Neodiprion lecontei: one gene and its partners. The protein of the gene in region 1 purifies or fractionates together with the protein of each later gene. This does not show direct contact. Links are inferred from orthologs where the notes say so. Each region holds a gene or a part of one and is shown in the gene's direction. Other genes may lie near its edges. The genes, in order: histone acetyltransferase KAT2A, DNA polymerase epsilon subunit 3, transcription initiation protein SPT3 homolog and molybdopterin synthase catalytic subunit.

Evidence for each region.
Region 2: the proteins of histone acetyltransferase KAT2A (region 1) and DNA polymerase epsilon subunit 3 purify together in Drosophila melanogaster (affinity purification with mass spectrometry; 3 studies listed by BioGRID). This does not show direct contact. The link is inferred for Neodiprion lecontei from reciprocal best matches to the Drosophila melanogaster genes Gcn5 and Chrac-14.
Region 3: the proteins of histone acetyltransferase KAT2A (region 1) and transcription initiation protein SPT3 homolog purify together in Drosophila melanogaster (affinity purification with western blotting; 3 studies listed by BioGRID, with this or other methods). This does not show direct contact. The link is inferred for Neodiprion lecontei from reciprocal best matches to the Drosophila melanogaster genes Gcn5 and Spt3.
Region 4: the proteins of histone acetyltransferase KAT2A (region 1) and molybdopterin synthase catalytic subunit purify together in Drosophila melanogaster (affinity purification with mass spectrometry; 3 studies listed by BioGRID, with this or other methods). This does not show direct contact. The link is inferred for Neodiprion lecontei from reciprocal best matches to the Drosophila melanogaster genes Gcn5 and Mocs2B.

Annotation. Positions count from the first base shown.
Region 1 is NC_060263.1:36,091,666-36,098,280, reverse strand, and holds histone acetyltransferase KAT2A, read left to right. Parts: upstream 1-1,599; 5' UTR 1,600-1,694; intron 1,695-2,307; 5' UTR 2,308-2,334; coding exon 2,335-3,305; intron 3,306-3,419; coding exon 3,420-3,980; intron 3,981-4,058; coding exon 4,059-4,783; intron 4,784-4,855; coding exon 4,856-5,049; 3' UTR 5,050-5,917; downstream 5,918-6,615. Other genes in the region: protein shuttle craft, read right to left, coding at 1-1,291, 6,600-6,615.
Region 2 is NC_060261.1:6,080,549-6,084,980, reverse strand, and holds DNA polymerase epsilon subunit 3, read left to right. Parts: upstream 1-1,858; 5' UTR 1,859-2,081; intron 2,082-2,268; coding exon 2,269-2,646; 3' UTR 2,647-3,920; downstream 3,921-4,432. Other genes in the region: gamma-soluble NSF attachment protein, read right to left, coding at 1-196, 286-493, 960-977, 1,186-1,270, 1,346-1,413, 1,536-1,585. UniProt on the Drosophila melanogaster protein: Accessory component of the DNA polymerase epsilon complex. Participates in DNA repair and in chromosomal DNA replication. Histone-like protein which promotes nucleosome sliding of ATP-dependent nucleosome remodeling complexes.
Region 3 is NC_060262.1:4,441,937-4,446,695, reverse strand, and holds transcription initiation protein SPT3 homolog, read left to right. Parts: upstream 1-1,887; 5' UTR 1,888-2,353; coding exon 2,354-2,402; intron 2,403-2,567; coding exon 2,568-2,786; intron 2,787-2,897; coding exon 2,898-3,218; intron 3,219-3,569; coding exon 3,570-3,757; intron 3,758-3,841; coding exon 3,842-3,979; 3' UTR 3,980-3,995; exon of another isoform or gene 3,996-4,167; 3' UTR 4,168-4,197; downstream 4,198-4,759. UniProt on the Drosophila melanogaster protein: Component of the transcription regulatory complex SAGA, a multiprotein complex that activates transcription by remodeling chromatin and mediating histone acetylation and deubiquitination. The SAGA complex predominantly acetylates histone H3.
Region 4 is NC_060263.1:10,688,655-10,693,688, forward strand, and holds the start of molybdopterin synthase catalytic subunit, read left to right. Parts: upstream 1-2,007; intron 2,008-3,748; 5' UTR 3,749-3,754; coding exon 3,755-3,895; intron 3,896-4,742; exon of another isoform or gene 4,743-4,903; coding exon of another isoform or gene 4,904-4,906; intron 4,907-5,034. Other genes in the region: molybdopterin synthase sulfur carrier subunit, read left to right, coding at 1,735-2,007. UniProt on the Drosophila melanogaster protein: Catalytic subunit of the molybdopterin synthase complex, a complex that catalyzes the conversion of precursor Z into molybdopterin.

The DNA of each region.
Region 1 (6,615 bases):
ATACCTTTTGAATTATCCTTATCCTTAGATTTATCCTTGTCTCTGCTCCGTTCCCCTCTTTCCTCTCTTTCATAATTATTTTTGTATCCATTGTAATCTGCATAGCTAGTTTTCTTCTCCCTGATCCCAGATTCATACTTATCACTGTATCTGTCTCTTTTATCACGATACCGTTCTCCACGATCTTCATTAAAATATCTTCTAACACTCTTACCACCCGTTTGACTGTACTTCATCTCAGAATTGTGACTAGAATAATTTTGATCGCCGTAATACTTGGCTGAACCACCAGATTGTCGGGTATTATCATGTCTAGAGGTTTTATAGTGCTTATTAACAGTCCCCTCCACAGATTGAGTTGCGTCTTCTTCACCGTGATATGAACCGTTTTCAAAATTTTCTCGAACACTGGAATTACCTGTCCATTTTCTTCTATCGCTATCCTTATCGCTCGTATAATTAGAACTATTATCCGAATAATGTCTGGTGTTAGAATACCTATCATTTTGGAATCTGCGATTCTTCGGATTCTGATTCCTGACAGAATTCTTAAACAAATTGGTATTTTGATATTGAGCATCCTGAGTATCCCTCTGCTTATAACTATCGCCTTTTTTATTTGCATCATATTTCCTATCCTTCTTATCTCGCTTATTTCTAATATCCACATGGTCAACTTTCGGCATGTTCGAATCGTGGAAGGTCAAATTTCCCGAATGCTGAGTTGAGGAATCATAATTTTCCAGCATAATTCTGCCATTATTTTCACTACTACTGGCAGACGAGTTTGTCCCAGCTGTTTGCAGCGCCTTCAAGGAGCTAGGTATAAACTCACCAGCGGTTGCATGCAGGTTTGAATTCTCAACGACACTGGGATCAATCGTTTGCTGAGGGACAAACGGTAATTTACCGTGGTAATTCTTTTTCTTAAGTTTGTCATTCGGGTTCCCACTTTTGCATTTGAATGGCGGAAGATTAAGCTGCGATCTATTGTTCTCAAAGAAAGGCTGTGGCCTTGCATACTGAGTACCACCAGCCATTTGCGGATCCTGATAGGCATTGGCTAAGTGCTGTTGACCCAGGTTCGAGATACTCGGCTGCACGTTGGAGCCATTCTCAGGATAATAGCTCCAGTTGCGCGCCACGTTCCCCTGGTCCGAATACCGATGAAAATTTGGGTCCTCAGGCCCATAATAAGACCCATCCCAGCTTGCCATGGCAATGCCGCAATGGCAAAGGGACTTCCCCGGCTTCTGACTCCACCAGAGGGTGGCTTGCCTCCAACGACTTTCTGGAAATGAGTTGAAGGATTGCAAACTTCAAGAGTGGGGCAATATGGTGCAATGATCTGGTTATAAGCTGATCTCAAACGAACTAACCAAACTCCATAGTTTAACCAATATCTTTTAACGGAGTAAATTTACGCACATACCTGATAAAATGCGTCGTCGACTTGTGCGCGGGTTAGTTAAGGGTGTTTGGGGTATTTCAATCCGACGACTAGCGCAGCGTTGCGAATATTGATAAGGAAAGTAAGGTGGAATATTTTTACTTATTTCTTACCAGCGTTAAATCAAAATTAAAAGTAGGCAAACGCTCCGTGCGAATCACTTGAGAACGTGGCGTTCGGACGAACTAAAATCACGTAACAAATGGAGGCGCAGCGTTACAATAATATGTGAACGGAAGCTTTGGTAAATAAACATATTACAATTCATTATTGTTCTTGTCGTAAATTTAGACCTATTTATCATACATGTTTAATTATCCGCACTTGGAATACCCTCGACGTGGTGATGATAAATGATTAAATAATCCCTACTTGAGAGTATTTTTTTTCTCAGCTGTACGCACAACCCACAGCCATCGATATTTGCGCGAAAAATTAAAACTGTCAAAAAGGACATTGCGCCAACGATAATTATACTCATCGGGTATCTCACGAATGAAAATCTCGGTTATTTCGTAACGATTTTGCGTCGCATTGACTTCAATTTCAAATTCACATCACGTACTTTGTCTCAATGTTTTGTCAACAATTTACCCGGCCTGCGTAACCTTGAATTTACCCTTCTCGCAAAGTTCAAAATTCAATTTTCCTTCAATGAGTAGAGTCGATAACCAGCTATTTCTTGGTAAAAAATCAGTAATTGATTTTTAATTCATAGATACGATAATTTCTGATTTGAATATATAATCCAAAGTAATACACATTTTAATTCCCACTGATAATTCATTATACAAATCTGGGAAATCAAGAAACATGCTATTGAACATAAACATTGTCATAAATTTGATATTTTTCAGGTGTAGTAATTTTAGAAAATCATTTCAATGGATGAAACTACCAGAACCATGTCAGGTATGTCGTCTGAGGATCGAGTGCAGTCCGTGACAAGTACATCTCAAAACCTCGTGAGCAGTAACAGCGCAGAGTCAAGTTCGCCACGAGGTACGGACCAAGCTAGTCGCCAGAACAACTTGCAGAGGATTCAGCAACGCAAACATCAAGTTTTTAATTGGCCCCAGTTAAAAAAGCTATTGAAACTGGCAAATTACAGCTCATGCCAAGCCGACGAGTGCAAATGCAACGGATGGAAGAACGCTCAACCATTGACTAAGTGTCCAAAGAATGACATGCAGCAACCAGCTGCTAACTTTTCCGATCCATGTCGAAGCTGCACCCATGTGCTTGAAAAGCATATCACACATCTGCAATCCCAAAGCGATGACGAAATTAACAAACTACTCGGCATGGTCATCGATGTTGATAACATTTTCATGGGAATGCACAGGGAGGAGGATCCGGATACAAAAAAAGTCTATTACTATTTATTTAAACTTTTGCGAAAATGTATCCTGTCTATGACTAAACCGACAATAGAGGGACCTCTGGGTCAGCCGCCTTTTGAGAGGCCTAGCATAGCCAAGGCTATAACTAATTTTGTGCTCTACAAATTTGGCCATTTATCCCAACGCGAATGGCAAGCGATGTACGATTTAGCCAAGATGTTTTTGCACTGTTTAAATCATTGGAATTTCGAGACTCCAAGTGCTAGAAGAACTGCTGGTAACGCCGAAGAAGCACCCGCATATAAAATAAACTACACACGCTGGCTTGTCTTTTGTCATGTACCAGCTTTCTGCGATTCTTTACCACATTACGATACTACACTCGTATTTGGAAGAACTTTACTTCAAGCTGTATTCAAATCAGTCTGCAGACAACTCATGGACAAATGTCATAGCGAACGAGACAGAATGTCACCTGAAAAGAGAGTTCTAGTCCTGACGCACTTTCCCAAGTATGTGTAACGTTTTTCCTTAAATCTTAGATTTATAACAGACAGAAACTTTCGATTGTACTAATTCCAAATGTATATTCCAAATCACTACATGCCACATTTTCTGATCCACAGGTTTTTATCTATGCTAGAAGTAGAAATATACTCTGATGGCTCTCCTATATGGGATCCAGAGTTCAAACAAGTACCGCCATCACATTTACAAGCTGCCTTAGAATCAAAGGGGAATCACTCACGACGGCCTGGTGAATTCGAGAAAATCAGTGTAGCGCACAATGACAAAGACAATTATACGACAATAAATATAAGCCCAGGGCTAAAAAAACTTCCTGAAAAACGATCTCACTCAGAGGGAAGGCCTGATTTGAAAAGACGTAAAAATGAAGAAGCTTTCGAAGACTTGCCGGAAGAAACTGTAGCAGAAATTGTAGCGACGATAAATGATCCTAACTACATGTGCGGACCTGACGCAGTCTTCCCACCAAATGTGCCGAGAGACGAAACTGCAAAAATTGAGGAAAGTCGAAAGATTATAGAGTTCCATGTCATTGGAAACAGCCTGACACAACCAGTATCGAAGCAAACTATGCTCTGGTTGATAGGATTACACAACGTTTTCAGTCACCAATTACCCAGAATGCCAAAAGAATATATATCTCAACTAGTCTTCGATCCGTGAGTAATTCTTATCTCTTTTACAAAACTTTCAAGTTTCATTCTTACTTCTGGTTCTCTTTTAATATCTTTAAACAGAAAACATAAAACTTTGGCGCTTATCAAAGATGGTAGGCCTATTGGTGGAATTTGTTTCCGAATGTTTGCAACCCAAGGATTTACGGAAATCGTATTTTGCGCTGTGACAAGTCAAGAGCAAGTCAAAGGATACGGTACACACTTGATGAACATGCTCAAGGATTATCATATAAAAAACAATATACTGCACTTTTTAACGTTTGCTGATGAATTTGCGATCGGGTACTTCAAGAAGCAGGGTTTTAGCAAGGACATAAAAATGTCTAGACCCATGTACCAAGGGTATATCAAAGACTACGAAGGTGCTACTCTGATGCACTGTGAACTTAACGCTAAAATTGTGTACACAGAATTCACTGCAGTTATAAGAAAACAGAAAGAAATAATCAAAAAATTGATATATCAAAGGCAACAAGAAATACAAAAGGTGCATCCTGGCCTGACCTGCTTCAAAGAGGGTGTGCGAGGAATTCCTGTAGAATCTATCCCAGGAATACGGGAAACTGGATGGAAAAGTTATGCTCAAACAAGAACGAGAGGCGTCGCGAAAGGAACGCAGGGACCAGAGCCAATGGAGGCTTGTTTGGATGTGACAGATTCATTATACAACGCCTTAAAAAGTGTTTTGAATACTGTGAAAAATAATAGCACTGCATGGCCGTTCCTAAAGCCTGTTGATAAAAATGATGTCCCTGATTATTATGATCACATCAAATATCCAATGGGTAAATATGTTACATATGCATCGATTATTGTAATAAAGATAATGATGATTAATGATTTTGTCATATTTTCAGACTTAAAAACTATGAGCGACCGTCTTAAGGCCAGATATTATGTAACTCGGCGATTGTTTATAGCTGATATGACACGAATATTTACAAATTGTCGATTGTACAACAGCCCGGATACGGAATATTATAGATGTGCCAATGCGTTGGAAAAATATTTTCAAACAAGAATGAAGGAAATAGGTCTTTGGGATAAATAATGATGACTTCATCAAGTTTAGAGTGATTGTTCCCCATTTATTCTACAGCATCGTATTAATTATGCAGTGCAAACTCATTGATATTCACCTAACTGATGGCTGAGTACTGATTTTATGACGCGTTGTGCTTTATGCACTAAACACTTTTATTATTTATTATGCTAAACTATGAGTTACCCGATGTATGCTATTGCGTACTATGATACTTAGGAGAAAATCGTTTTCAAATGAATACGGTTTCGAAAATCTGCGTTAATTAATTTGTCAATGACTTGTGTAGGTAAATATTTCGGGTTTCAAAAGGATGTAAAACATATGTTTAATCTGAGTTGTTCTTAGAGCTAGGGGCCTCACAAAGTAAAGAACTACGAAAATGTGATTCCACAATTTGCCGTCTGTATATATTATCATAAATTGGAGAATAATTTGAATTAAGATTAGCTACTGATTAGTTCAATTTCGATTTAAGCAATGTTGGTCAGGTGCTGCAAGTGAATAATCCATGGATATACATACTTATGTATATGTAGTATACATACAATATATGTTTAAATAAAGATAACTGACTTTTGTAAATATATTTCTATCGATTAAATGACAATTTGGAAATTCCTTAAAAGACACATTTACGGCAGGAGAGAGAAATTCATATAATCAGTCCCAGGAATTTTCGTATGAATCGATGTACAACTCAGGTTTTGAATACTATTGCCGAAAAAATTGACTGAGTAAAACATTCAAGAATTTACTTGGGCACGGTATTTTCAACCATTGCATTGGAGTTCAACTACATTGCTTCATGGTCTAATTAATGTAACTAGCCAAATAGGTAATTAATTAATGTAATGCAGTGATTATAATAATGCCTCTCTTCATGGTCAGTCTCTGGAACACTGCTTTTCTCAAGTTCACGATAGCAGTCATGATATGTTGCTTGAATAAAACTTTCCTACTGCTCGTGATTCATTCATTATTTAGACGAAATAAACGAATTTCTTTTATTATTATCGCAAATTTGTATTCGAGTAATAGATATAAAAAGAAAGTCAAATTATTCTATTGTGGTCAGCAATGGGTTCCAATTACTTTGAGAAAGTTTCTTATCTCTTTCTGGTAGGAAGATTTATAATACTCTTGCATTTTTTGCGTTTCTGAAACAGATTCTGAACAGATGTTACAAGTCTTGGATATTTTTTTTTTCCAGTATTCGAAAAAAAATTTTATAACTTTCTACAAAAAACTGAAAACTAGTTTTGGAGTTTTAAAAAGTTTATGCAGAAAAATTGTCAGATCACTTTGTGCAAATATGCAGGTTTTCGCGTATCTATAACATAAATCGAACCGGATGTTTGAAGAAGATATATAATGCAGATGTATCTTCCTGGCACCGGGGAATACCCAACTTAATTTTATACTTTTATAACAATAGTGATTTTTCGAGACAATAGTATCGTGTTTTATCAACAAAGCTCATGCTGTTATCATTGTTTCACAGCAATGGGAAACTCTGCCACGCAACCGATGAAACTGAGTTCTATCTACATACTTACCATATTTTAACAAGCA
Region 2 (4,432 bases), on another chromosome or scaffold:
CTTGATCCCCTCTGGCGAGTTGAACCAATACTAGTGCTACCGCTAGTCGTCCTACAGACGGAGTGTGATCTATCTGTTGATGCATTCCAATCTCCCTACGAATCGCGTCTGCAGCTTGATCGTACATTTTTAGTTTTACTAGAATTCTAGCTACTTTGCTCATGTATTCAGCCGCTTGTCTCGGACTGTCTTCACTCTGTAACATTTTATAGCCGTATTATTTTTTAATCTCTAACGCTGGAAATACTATCAGGCTTTTTGTCATTATGAAATTATTTCTTATACCATAACAACATCAGCTGCACGCTTGTACAACTCCAGAGCTTGTGCGGGTTCAGTAGCTTCCAATAATTTAGCTGCTTTATCCAGTACCGAAGCACCTGATTCAGGTGAGCCGTGTTGCTGATATAACGAACATGCAGAATGTGCCAATTTCGGTACTTCGGTTAAATTTCCTAATTCCTTGCACACTAGAAGTGCCTGTTCCATACTCCTACACAACATTTTTAGTCACTTTATTTAGTTTATGAAACCACTATTTGTATGCTCAACATTTTTTTTTTTTGAAGGTGCTTATGCAAACTATTTTTAGAAAGCCTTTTATACTTATGAAAACGGATATTTGTTTTATATCAATTTCGTACAATTTGGGAGTAAAATCATAGCCATGGCAAAGAATGCTAAGACTAGATCTGATCTAGGTTTGATCTAGATCTGGATCAAATTAAAACGAATATGGTTCGGTAAATTATTTTAACACTTGAGATAATTGTTTGAAACAAAAACAATGTTGATTTGCATACATTGGTTTTTATCATTCTGTATTTGGAAAATATTTTTCATTTTCGCTTTTTTTCATCCACTTGATAAAATACCGTATGTTCAGTTTCTATAAACCAAGCATCGTTTTCCAAGTTTTAAAGTCTGCTTGAGTCTTTGAGTCAATTGGCCATACTTACTTTGCAGCGTGAAACCATCTATTAAACTAATTAAGGATTTAACTATAAACCAGAGAAAAAATTGTTTCGTCGAAACAGATGAAAACTATGACGCATGATCTGCATGTTTTATACTGATTCAAGAACTTTCGATTTCGACATAAGAAAATTATGTATAGAATTCATCGTTAATAAAAAAGTAAACCATGAAAATTCAAAAAACACCGATCGATGTCTGAAAGGATACGATCTGTTCTGTTTGTGACAGTCTGAAGCCTTCATTAGGCATTCCTTGCACTGTTGAAAAGCTTTTGCATTTCGAAAACAGGTGGCTGTTGAGTGGAAGGAGAAGATTAAATATTGACAGTAATGAGGCGCGCAAATATATTATCGCATGGTATATTTACCCGCATGGGAGTATTCATCAGCAGCGATTTCAAAATCAGGTCTCCACTTTAAAAGTGACGTTTTTAAACTAGGGGAGAAAATTAATAAATTATTATGATCTAAATTAATGGTACGTTTTTACTGGTTAGGGAATTAAAATGATCAAATTCTTTTCTAATTTGGATTGATGTACTAAGAAAAAAATCTCACCTTTTTTCGGCCTGCCGAATGTGGGCCATTCCTTCCTCCATTTTCGACATTTTTCTCAAAATGTTGGCTCACGTTTGTAAAATCACTTTGTTTTTCCGCAAAAATATTACTGTCAAATTTTCTTGTGTCAAATCAATTCAATCCGTGAAATGCAGACGACGTATTCCGTACTACGAAGCAGAAACCTTGGGCGTGTTCGTAAACTCATTTGCAAATGTCCTGACAATGAGTCACGAAAACTAGACGAAAATATGGTACTTTGTAAAATCCTGTAGATGGCGTCTCAGGATCGCATGATGGAAAAAAAAAAATAAAATAAAAAACATCACCCTACCGCGAATGAAGTTTATGGAGCGAATACACGACATGTTTATATTTGATTTTCAAATTCACAGTCGCGTCCCTCGGTGATACAATAATTACTTATAAAATCTGATTGAAATATCGGCGAAAACGAAGTAAAACTCAATTGAAACGTCACCACTTGCTGATATTCTACTTTTTATTTACCTTCCGTTGAAAATCATTCAATCGTAAAAGCTAAAGGTAAGTACATCAATTTTTCTCATCACGTTGTCTAAATTCTCGGTATCGTAGTTTTTATAACCTCAAAATTTCTCTCACTTTTTTCGACGACTTTTCTGCCATTGTAAAACGTGTTTTAATATTTCACGACAATATAATTTTGAAATTCTCTCTTCGCGAATTAACGAATAATGCTTCACCTCAATAGATGGCTGAGAGATTAGAAGACTTGAATCTCCCTAATGCTGTTGTAACAAGAATAATTAAGGAATCTCTGCCGGACGGAGTCAATATTGGCAAGGAAGCACGAGCGGCGGTCGCAAAAGCTGCTTCGATTTTTATATTGTACATTACGTCAACTGCCAATACAATCGCTAAAAAAGGAAAAAGAAAAACTATCAGTGGTACTGACGTTATTCAAGCTATTGAAGAAATTGAGTTTGACCAATTTCTTGAACCGCTCCAAGAGGCATTGGAAAATTTCAAAAAGTCACAAAAGGAAAAAAAGGATGCGACTACAAAGAGAAAACAACAGAAGAAAGATGACGAAGAAGTGGAAGAAATCGTTTGCGAAGACGCTGAGTAGCTTCTACTTTTTTTTGCATTTTTTACATTCACACACTATTTAATACATCGGATTTTTAACTTAAGTATATGTATAGGCTGTGTGTAAACCACAATTTATATTGAATAATATAAGAATATTTTTTTTTTTCACTCAAATCCTGATTATTATTATTATTTTTCCCCTCGAAGTATCTACTTATGTTTTATTACTTTCTCCTTTTCCAAATTGACATTATTATGAATCGTTAATGTGACACCTGTGCTTTTACAAAATCATTACTGCAATACATTTTGTACAAGTGGGTCGTGTGATGGAAGGGTTGCATACTATTCTGACAAAGTTTTGGTGAGTCACCAGGCTTCCGCTTTTTTGAATTGTATCACGAATTCAATAGTTTGTGGCATTGAATTGTATGACGAACAATATGCAAACAGTCTCAGAAAATTTTATTAATTGTATATAAGACAATATTGGTGTGAGAGTAAATAGATTACATAATATTTATGCAGAAATCGTTCGTAAAAGTGTGTATCTCAATGGGTACATAATAATATACATAGTAATATATATATACATATATATGTAGTTTTCTTTTTTTTTTTCATTCAATATCATTAGATCAATAATTGAACAATCTTGCGAGCTTACAGTAATGGTAGGTATAGACTATAGGGTTAAAAAACATTTACTCCGCATGTTCTAAAACTCCGTATGAGAATAAGAAAGATTAGCAATGTTCTTTCTATGTGGATTTTTAAATCAAGTGCAGAATGTGCAGTATAGGAAATGACTACAATTCGAACATTCTATGCTAAATTAATGGAATTTTTCATTTCACTACGAACAGTGTTTAGTATTCTGTTTAACAATAGTAGCAAGTCTAATCAATTAGAGACATGCCTATCGAATCCATATTTCGCTCTGTAATATTGGTTTACTTTGTGTTTTCTCCTTCACTATATTATAAAGTTATATCTTATGCCTAGCTTATATCTCAGTTCCGTTTACTTACTTTACATAGGTAAACACATCGCAATAATATCTTATATGTAAGAATTAATTGTATGTGTATATATGGCACTTTATGTTTACAAAACAGGCAAAGAAAGACTAGCATAAAATTATTGACTACTCAAGCCGTCCTTTCTTGATCAGCGCTGTTTATTAAAATTGAACGAATTCTAATTATTTCTAGTAATCAAAGAATTTTTCATCTGAATTAACTGCGATGTATATATATATAGCATCGCCTTCCAATAGTTAGGCATTCTTAACGAGTAGTACCACTTAAATGTTATTTAGCAAAAATTTACCATTACTCGTAGTTTAGAATAATTTCGGATCATTTTCATATCCTGCATTAGTAATTGTATTCATACTTGGCTTTACTATTCATATTTTAACAGTAGTTTAGAAACTTTTAAGGACATTTAAATTCTTTAATATCGTTCTTTGAGAAATGTAATTTTGATAGAAAAATTTATAAGCAAATAGACATTAAAAATTCTATATCAAATGTATATAAATATTATACATAGATATTTATGATTTGCATTTTCGATAAGTGCTCATCAACTTGAATCATAGATTTTGGTTGAAACTTGTCCAATATTTTGATACTTAACTTGAGAATGAAATATACATCACCATGAAAAATATCAATGGTTTTTATAATAAAAATTGTTTGTCTTGCACATTCAATTCTGTCTCTATTTCAGTACACAAAGAAAGCTGTAGAAATAACAAGATATTATCCAAGCATTTTTATCATTGGCTTTCTGAGATGTTCACACTATTTTTAAAT
Region 3 (4,759 bases), on another chromosome or scaffold:
GTACACTGGCAGCTATCGCAGGGACTAGAACGAAAGTTTTCCATTAAGTATTTATAATTTTTTTATAGGCAAAACGTTGTTAAAATCAGGCTGCTTTCCGACTTCTAATTTTGACAATATGCCATTTTATCATTTTTTATTTTTTTTTCTTCATTTTAGTTCCTGCGATAGATATACTCATAATAATTAAGGGTCATTTTTAATTTTTTTTATTTCAGATAAGTGAAGCACCAAATCCATTAACAGCAGCAAGGTCAACTTTTTTCGAAGGGACGACTTCAGCACCATTTTTATATAATAATAAAAAAAAAAAAAAAATTGGTTGTCTGTAAAGTCGGTTTACGGACGATAGTTTGACGTGATAACGTCATAAAGAAACATTGATGAAAAATACGATTCAAATTGCTAGCTATGACGTCACGCGAGGCCTCGCTAGCTCAGCGACAAGTCCAAAAGTTATGATGACGCCATCTAGTATCACTGAATTTTTGCAACGTAAAATATCAGTAAATAGAGCTTAACCAACAACGGAGCTGCAATTAACCTATTTGAGCTGCTGTTTTGTTGTGGGTGAAATAAATTCCAGTGGTATCTAAGTGCCGTGAATCGTTAAACAAGCGAAATGCTATCGCAGGCGTTTCAGCCGTAGCCATGTTGACGTTGAGAGTGTGTGAATACGTGTATCAGCTGACGACGGAATATTTTATAATAATTTTGTTCGTTACTTTCGATTTAACTGTAATCTTCCACTGCTATTTCACCCACAACAATTTTGAATAAGGAATCATATCGTCACAAAACATTTGAAAAGTATGCTCTCGTCTTTGAGAATTCACGTTGCGAAATCCACTCGTCCGCGTGCACATGTGGTAGTGTCAGAAAAATAAAAGACATCACGATGGTTCACTCATATCATCATTACAACCTTTATTAAATGCCATACTAATATATAAATAATCCGATAACATACATATAACTTTTATAAATCTTTTTGCTGCACTATCAGATAAATAAGTTGGATTTTTAAATTTTCAATTTTCAAATAGTCCATCAATAAAATCTTTGGGCTTTTGCCCTCCAAACAATTAATTTATATTACCAGCCGTAGTAGCGTAGCGTGTAACGTCAAAGACTACGGAACGGGAGGATCTGAGTTCAAATCCCCAGCCTCTTTCACGGTAGCTCGCCAAAATTGTAAGACGGGCCACGTCATTCAGGCGCCGAATTGGCGGGTTGAAGTTTGAACTCGGTCCGGCAGCCACACGGACCAAAGGTTTTCTGCAGTTTTCTTTGTGTCCCTTGCGCTAATGCGGATGTTTCAATTGAACATCACAAGCAGACGGCTGCAGCCGCATAATGGTGGCCATGGCACCGTTATTTTAACCAAATTTTAAAATAAATGTCATTTAAGGACTTGTCATTAATACGTTCCGTATGGATTTTTTAGGATCTTATTTAGTTTGTTACAGAAATGTCACAAGGGGTTACAAGGGGTTAAGGATTTTTTTAAAGGATAAAATTAAATATGCAAAATAAAATATTTTATACCATTCTGTTTAGAGAGATGGCAAAAAGATATGGATCATCGACATAGCATCCGCGAACTAGTGATTGAGGACAAGAGTAAATGAAACGAAATGATGTTGACATGGAGAGTGATAATGATTAACGATAAGCGAGGTTTTCATCGATCTTGATGCGGCGATACAGACAGTATCGCAAGAGAACGTTGCGCAGACTGACGGTTTACAGAGCGAGAGAATACATAGATTACACACATACATGATATTGAGACAGTAGACAATACATGAGATACAGCTGCTGTTTTGAGTCGCGAGACTGGCAAGCGGCGAGATTTGACGCAGAGACGGCAATTAGTAAACATTGCACGCGAGTGCGCGTCCATGCGTGAGGACGATTTTGAGTGTCGCGAGACACACATTTGACTAATTCGATACTTTGCCGAAACAACGACAATACCTTTAAACAGTCCCCACTCAAGGTTGAGCTGCACGGTTGCCCACTAGAGCAGGAAATATCAGAAATGAATTTAGCAAAAAGCGAAGGGTACAGCATAGCAAGTCTTGCAATTATGATGATAGATAGCATTATGTGCGGCTACTGGACACAGAATATGTAATGACTGCATGTAATGAGAACTGCCTGACACTAGGCGCCGTTATTATTTTAGATTTCGCTGTACTCCAGTAACATTTAGATTCTAGGGTTACTACCCTAGAACAGACTTGGAACAAGAGTGGTTGGAACACCTGCCGATGTGATGTCTGCTACTAGCAATTTGTGTTTGTAAAGAAACAACAAAACGTAAACAAACATTAAAATTACTTTAAAAATGACAAGTGTACCTGACGTTAAAAATGAACCAATCAACTACACAGCGGGTGAGTGAAATATATAAATTTATTATATACGTATACATAAATATAAAGAAGGTAGAATTCTGTTGGTTATGTTTGTGACATAAGAATATGAAATCCATACCGCAGGCTCGTTCATTATCTATTATCCAATTTTCTCCACATTGCTGATGCTTATTTTCTGGTTAGAAATCCGTCAAATGATGCATGGATTTGGCGACAGTTCAGCCCCGCTGTTAGAGTCAGCAAAAATAATCGAGGATGTCGTACTGCACCAAATGCGAGCAATTGTTTACAGGGCGTGCGAAGTTGCTGATAGGCGAGGGAATAGAATAATAACACCTGAAGATTTTATTTTTCTCATGCGCAAAGATAAGGTCAAGGTTCAACGGCTGTTGAAGTACCTAGGCAAGTGGTATTTTTCTTACATTGATGTCTTATTAATTTTGGTACGTTGTGAATCTATCTCTGTAAACTAAATACATCCCTTCAATTTGATCTGTTTTCTTTTTGTTTCAGAAGTAAAAGAGCTGCGAGCAATAATGCACAAGACGGTTCAACCAGAGAGTATGGGGAATTTTTTCGAGGCTGACGGTGGCGAAGTTTTGACAAAGCGAAAACGTCCTTATCATGATTTCATTCAATTGATCGACAATACAGGGGAATTACTCGAAAATAGAAGCACTTTTGATATCGTTAAACAGAACAGACTGATCAGGGCAGAGATGGTCACTAGAAAAATGGATGAAATTCAATATGTGGAATACTCAAAGGCACGGCACGCTTCCTTCACAAATAACAAACAGCGACACAAATTCAGCGACTGGGTATGCCCGGATGGTAAAGTGAATTCAACCATATTATGTGTATAGATCAGGTTGGTTTTTTTAAGTTTCTTTTTCTTATGTACCCTTTGAAAAGTTAGTTTTTCGCCTCAAACGAAGTCTCGTAAAACTGGAACTCTATAGCAAAATTCTAAAACGTTACTCATCCGGTTTGAATTTTTCAAACACTCGAACTAAACTTTTAGAATTTTGCTACCGAGCTTCGGTTTCACGAGGCTTAATTTGAGGCTCAAAACTAACTTTTCGAAGTTTATGTAAGAAGAAAAAAAAAAAACCATTCTAGTATATACTTATATTTTTTTTCTGTTCAGTATCTAATCATAAATCGAATCTTCAACGCTTACAGATGATGTGAAAATATCAAAACAAGGCTACCAAATTTTGAGCTATCTCGCTTACGAAACTGTCGCGCAAATTATAGACTTGGCGCTTGTGGTCCGACAAGATCAGAGTAAGATTCATGGAGACGCTATTGAAAGGCTGAAACTAAACCACTGTAATCCCTATACCTACAAGCCTTATCAGCATAATATGGTAAACGAGATTATGGATTTCTTCTCCTTTACCTGAGTCACAAATAATTGGCCGCGTTCCATTATATAATCTCTTTGATTACAGGGAGTCGTAATAAAGCCAATCAGTCCGTCGGAAATAAATGAGGCATTGAGGAGGTATTGGTCACCACAGCTGGATATTACAGGGCCATTTTACAGATCATCTCTGCGTCCGCTGCACCCAAAATTACTTGCTTGTTGAGACATAGGCTGCGGAGGTACGAGCTTGTATTAAAATAATTGCAGGGTTGATGTTGATAATAGCTTCAGTTTATTTATTGTTATCGAGCCACGGCCGTTTTATATTTCAATATATGACTGCGATTTTGTTCTATATTACTCATTAAACTCAATAATCATGATATCAAGTGTATATTTCTAAAATTACAGAGCATCGTACGTACTACATTATAATTTGAGGAAAAACGCTAGATTTGGAATAAAAATACAAAGAAAAGTAATGACTACTTTTGGAAGTTTCTTGTTACGTATTTTACAAAATTCACGATTTACATGCTTACAATATTCTTTTTCTTTTTATTTTTCAGTCGTGTAATAAAATTTATCTACAATTATGCAAAGATCATTATCAGCATCACAGTATATGTCATGATTTACAATATAGGTATATTCAACGTGTATTTGTGTATCCTCCTCCTTTGATTATTGACCACAAATCTATTATATTAGAACTATACAATTTTGTCAATTATGTTTGGACGAATTATCATTATTATTAAACATATCGATAACATTTTAAAACATTCAACCGCTTACAAACTGCCCTAATTTTATAAATTACGGCTTGTCGAGGTTTTTAAAGTATTTCTTTTAAATTGTTTCAATACTGTTTCAGTAACAATTTATTATTGCCTAAGAAATAACACCTGAGAACTATTTTCTCTTTAAAAAACTTGTCTACTTGAAAATGGTCGTCCAATCGAAATCCATAATAGCTTCTTTTGTGGTTGTCCAATCACGT
Region 4 (5,034 bases), about 25 Mb from region 1:
TATCCAATCGTGCAGTGAGGCGGTATAGGTAACATTCTCTTTCACAACTTGCAAGAAGCAAGTACCTTGTTACACCGTGTATACCTATTACAGCAACGTTGTCCTTGCCCCACAGCAACTTGCACATTCTTTCCTAGCTCCGGATTACCAGTATTCTCGATCCACCCATATCTATACTTAACTATGAGCACATTGTATTGCACGCGTACGCCTGCATACATTTGAATACTTACCCAAGGCCATCGCATGCTAACGCTATACACAGAGATACTAGCCTAGCTAGTCCATAGCTAGTCACCGTAGACGTTGTGTATTAGCTTTGAAACAGTGACGGTACGTATGAAATTGCCGTGCTACCATATGCCCTTGATCGATCATTTTGTACAGTGTAGCTACTATAGCTGTAATGTTAATTGACAAGAATCGAGTCGAAATGGAATAAATAGAACGTAATTCCGTATGAAATATTTTTCAGATTGTATGTCGTACAAGTATTTATTTTTATTGTATAGAATAGAACTAGAAAGAATATGATTGCACCAACATCTTGCACAAGGCTACTGCGTCTTTAAACTATACCACTACTTACGAGTTACTACCATAGTGCCACTCTCAGCTTTGTCCGTGATAGTTGTTCAATCATAGGTTTTTTTCTGGACACATACGCAGTGCGCCTTTTGCTTTCTGTATTTTACAATTTGAAGTCAACACCTATACTTTCATACCGTACATAATTATTTCCCAAGTATCATGACAGAACTGGTATAGTTCAAATAAGCAATTGAATATTCCATTTAGATTTCAGCGTAGCTTTGTATACAAGTATCACGAGCGCTTCAGCTTTGAAATAATTCCCATATTTCTACCAGACAACTTGCACGCTCATTTTCCTCCAAATGGAGGTTCTTCGATAAGATAATACATAGGCGATATTAATTTGACTGCGATGTCACCAGATGTGAGGATGCCGATGAATGCATGATAAAATATGCGTAGATAGGTATACCTATGCATATATATTTTATATAGATATATATAAATGTATATATATATATATATATATATATATATATACATATATATGGTTCCGTTACTTTTAACAGTACAGTTCCTGCTTTCGCATTCTAACTGGATTTCAGGCAGGTAGATAGGTATCTATTTTTCGTGCAATAATAAGGGCCCACGCCTGGCCGTTTTGTGCGACCATACTTCCCGTGACCTCATTCCGCCTTTGACCTGATTATCAAAAGTGCATTCGGTTTGGTCTAGTGAGGCGCCAGCTAACAGGTGTTACGTCATCACCACGGGCGTCAGCCTAGCAACAATTTTAAGGTCCAAGAATTGTCGAGCAGCTTGTCAATAAAAACAGAAATTTTTGCAACAGCAATAAATTGGTATGTATGGAGGAGATAACAGTAGAATTATACGTCAATTTGACGACTGATGAAGAAAGGCTGATTAATCACAGTTCTCCTTTTCGGCACGTTTCCGGTATCAGCGTTTTTCGACCGTACCGTACGCAAACATAACCTCGTTATGCTTCGTTACCAACTTTCCACCGATCTATTGTTCCGGGAAAATATTTCTTACGTAACGAGATAGTATTGGCTAATACCAATCGAGTAAACAGTGAACAATAACAATGCATGTGTTGAAAACATGTGTGGTGCGATAAAGGTCTATGCAAGTGCCAAGCAGAGCCAGTCGCTGTCGCCACTCTGTCGCCCATAGTTTATGATGGATGGAGAATCACGAGATTCGCTGGTAAAAATTCTCTTTTTCGCCAAGGCTCGCGAGTTGTCCGGCCTGAAAGAGTCTCGGGCTAAGCTGCCGGCTAACATCTCTTACCAATCTTTGTTGGATACAATTATTGAGAAATTTGGTCTCGAAAGTATTCGCGATTCTGTTATCTTATCTCTCAACGAAGAATACCTTGCAGCCAACGGAACGCTTAACCTATCCGACCAGGACGAAATTGCTGTTATTCCCCCGCTCAGTGGAGGTTAGTTTATCAAACATATTAACATTTATTTCAATTTATTTACATTTAATCATAATAATGATCAAACTACTTTGACTGCTCAGCGAAAAAATGAGAACTACGTAATTACAAAAGGTATACGTTTCTTCCTGACTGTTTTCGCACAAATCTTCTATCATGGGCATCTTTCGGAACCTTATTTCATTCAAGTAGTGAAATATGTTTTTCCGCCACATTCATAATAATACTATGCCGCAACGAGCGGCTGTACCATTCTCTATAGGGTCGAAGTTATGTTTCAGGATTGGGCAGTTGCCAGTATCAGTATCTTATCCTCGTATTGTACAATGCTGATGAAAATCGACATGAATACCATAATCATTTCCAGCTTTATCGCCGAAGGCAAGGAATATGAGGGTACCTAGAAGAACGTTTGTATTATTACATCCAACATTCAACAGCTTATTACAAAGTCTACTGGAATTTATGTGCCTTTAATTTTTAATTACCATGACAGCTCTAAACACAAGAGTATTGAAAAACCCAAGTTTGAAGAAAATAAACTGTAATTGGCTTAGCCATACGCCGTTTAATGTTGGATCACCACAAACTGCCAGAAACAGGCTCAACAATATGGATGTTCTTCCAGGAAACACAATATTCATTGATAAAATGTTGCACATAATTAACACAATTTTCGGAGAAAAGATTATTTAAACTCATTTCCCAGTATGTGTTACTTATCCAAAAATCTGAATTCGGCTCTTTTGTTCATAGCTTATAAAGTCTAGCTAAAGTCTAGACCATTCTTATGGAGGAGCAAAGCGTAGTAATAATGCCGAAGTTAGTAACCTTTATGTAACCAAACATTGCGGGGAGAAATTGTTATTTTGCAAGGTTATAGTGAGTTTGAAGTAGTTAGGTTTTCAAAATATGAAAAAGAATACAGTTTGCCTCATTATGATTTACTAAATTTCAGAGATTCCTGCAGCTGAGAAATAGCAATTTTTTAAAACGTTAATCATTGTAATAATATTATTAACTTCAGCCTCAAGCCTAGTAAAAGGAAACTTATTGGAACTGAATCTTGTCATTGGTTCTTGAGATATTGTTCGCGCTATTTTCAAATAATAGTTCTTGATTACAAAAAAGGAGTTTTTTTTCAGGGTTTTTCAGTATTTATGATATTTCAAATTTCTTAATAATGATCCAGCCTTTTAGCAAAGTATTCTTGGAAAATTTATGAGCTCAAAGTTTGCAAAGCTAAGATGAAGGAAAATTTTTTTTAAATCATGATTTTGGAACTTTAGTATGACTGAAAGAGTTACGTTTGCAAAATTTCATATTTATGCTCTGCTTTTATTTGAGTCAACTACTGTATTATGGACAACTATAAAGTTGCTAAATAATGATCAGACGGAAAAAATTCATCATTACGTTAATGTTACAAAGTTCAGCTTTACGATTATTTTAATTACTTACGATATTAACGTAAACGATTTAAATATCACCTTCAGTTTACTCTTGAATCTACAATGAGTTGCATTCACGAAGATTTGACATGCAGGGTCTGCTTTGATTCTTTAATCATTATCAAGAATTTCGATTTGTTTTCAAATTATTCAGTAAGAATTTCGGCCTTGACTTTAGAATTGTACTTATAATCGTGATTGTTCTCTGTTTTTAATACTTTTGGTTTCTTTGTTATGCTGTAAATTCCAATAGTCATTTTTGGGAATATATTCACAATCACAGTCTTTGTTGCAGGTTAAGATGAATGACTCAAAAGATGTCATTAAGCTGCAGACGGAACAGTTGAATATAGGAGGCATAATTAATCTGGTAGTTGCAGCAAATTGTGGAGCAATATCCACTTTCATTGGTACAACTCGGGACAATTTTGAAGGAAAGAAGGTACACAATTACTTGTACTCTAAGAAATTTAGAAGTTGTCACTGCATATGTAAAAAGGAATATCAATCATTCCATTTATTTGGTCATAATTTTTCTGACAATCGAACTGTGAAATCTAATTAATTTTGTTATAATGTTGATAAAGCAGACAAGTATCTATATTATTATTAGTATCCCTATTAATATAATTTCGGGAAAATACGCTACAAGTGATTTTATACTATCTCGTATTAATTGTGTCTGGATTTACATATCGGTTTTGCAGACTTTAGTTAATATTTCACGACCAGCGATGCCACTACGTTTTTTTACCGATATTTGGCCTTTGGCGGGGGGGCATGCGTATGTCTAACAATGAGACAATTTTATACAATGAAATAAAGGTTTGATCCTAATAGTATACATAGGAGTAGATCAGAATTCTTCAATCTTAAAGTTGAGGAGTCTGGAAATAGAAGGACTTCGAAATGACATGTGTCAATGACATTATGTAAATGTGGAACCTGGAACATTAGGAAATCAGAAACAAAATTATTTCTCTTATACAAAAATTACTATTCAGTATTCAAATCTCTTTATTCATTTGAACGAAGTTAGATACAAGTTAACAGGTATATATCAGATATTGTATCAATTTATGCAGCATGAAAGCCAAGTGTATGAAAAAGTAATCAAGTTGCGTTTTTCAAACAAATACAGTACAAATTCATATAAATCGAGTCGTTTAATTCAAGACAGATCTGAAGAATTTTAACTTTGGTTACTCTAATTTATTTTTTAACTAAAATTTTTTTTTAAAATGCGCGTAAAATGTGTTTGAAAAAAATTTCTATGTTCCAAAATCCAGGGCAGGGATTTCCATGCCATAAAAATGTCGAGGTCTGGTTTATACCATCCATGCTGGCAATGACGCCACTGTTCATGATGCTACAATTTCTTGGAAAGGAGTACTGACTCCTTCAGCTGATCAGAGTGGGGCGCACAGCGCCGCGGTTTTAGAGAATTGAAATGGTGTGTGAAGCGACCCTAATTCATATAAAATTTCGCAGAAAGTATTACCATAAAACATCAGAGAATTTGATAGAAAATCTGGAAATGAGGCTGTATTGATGGCATTTTTTGAATAACGTGTTCACTAT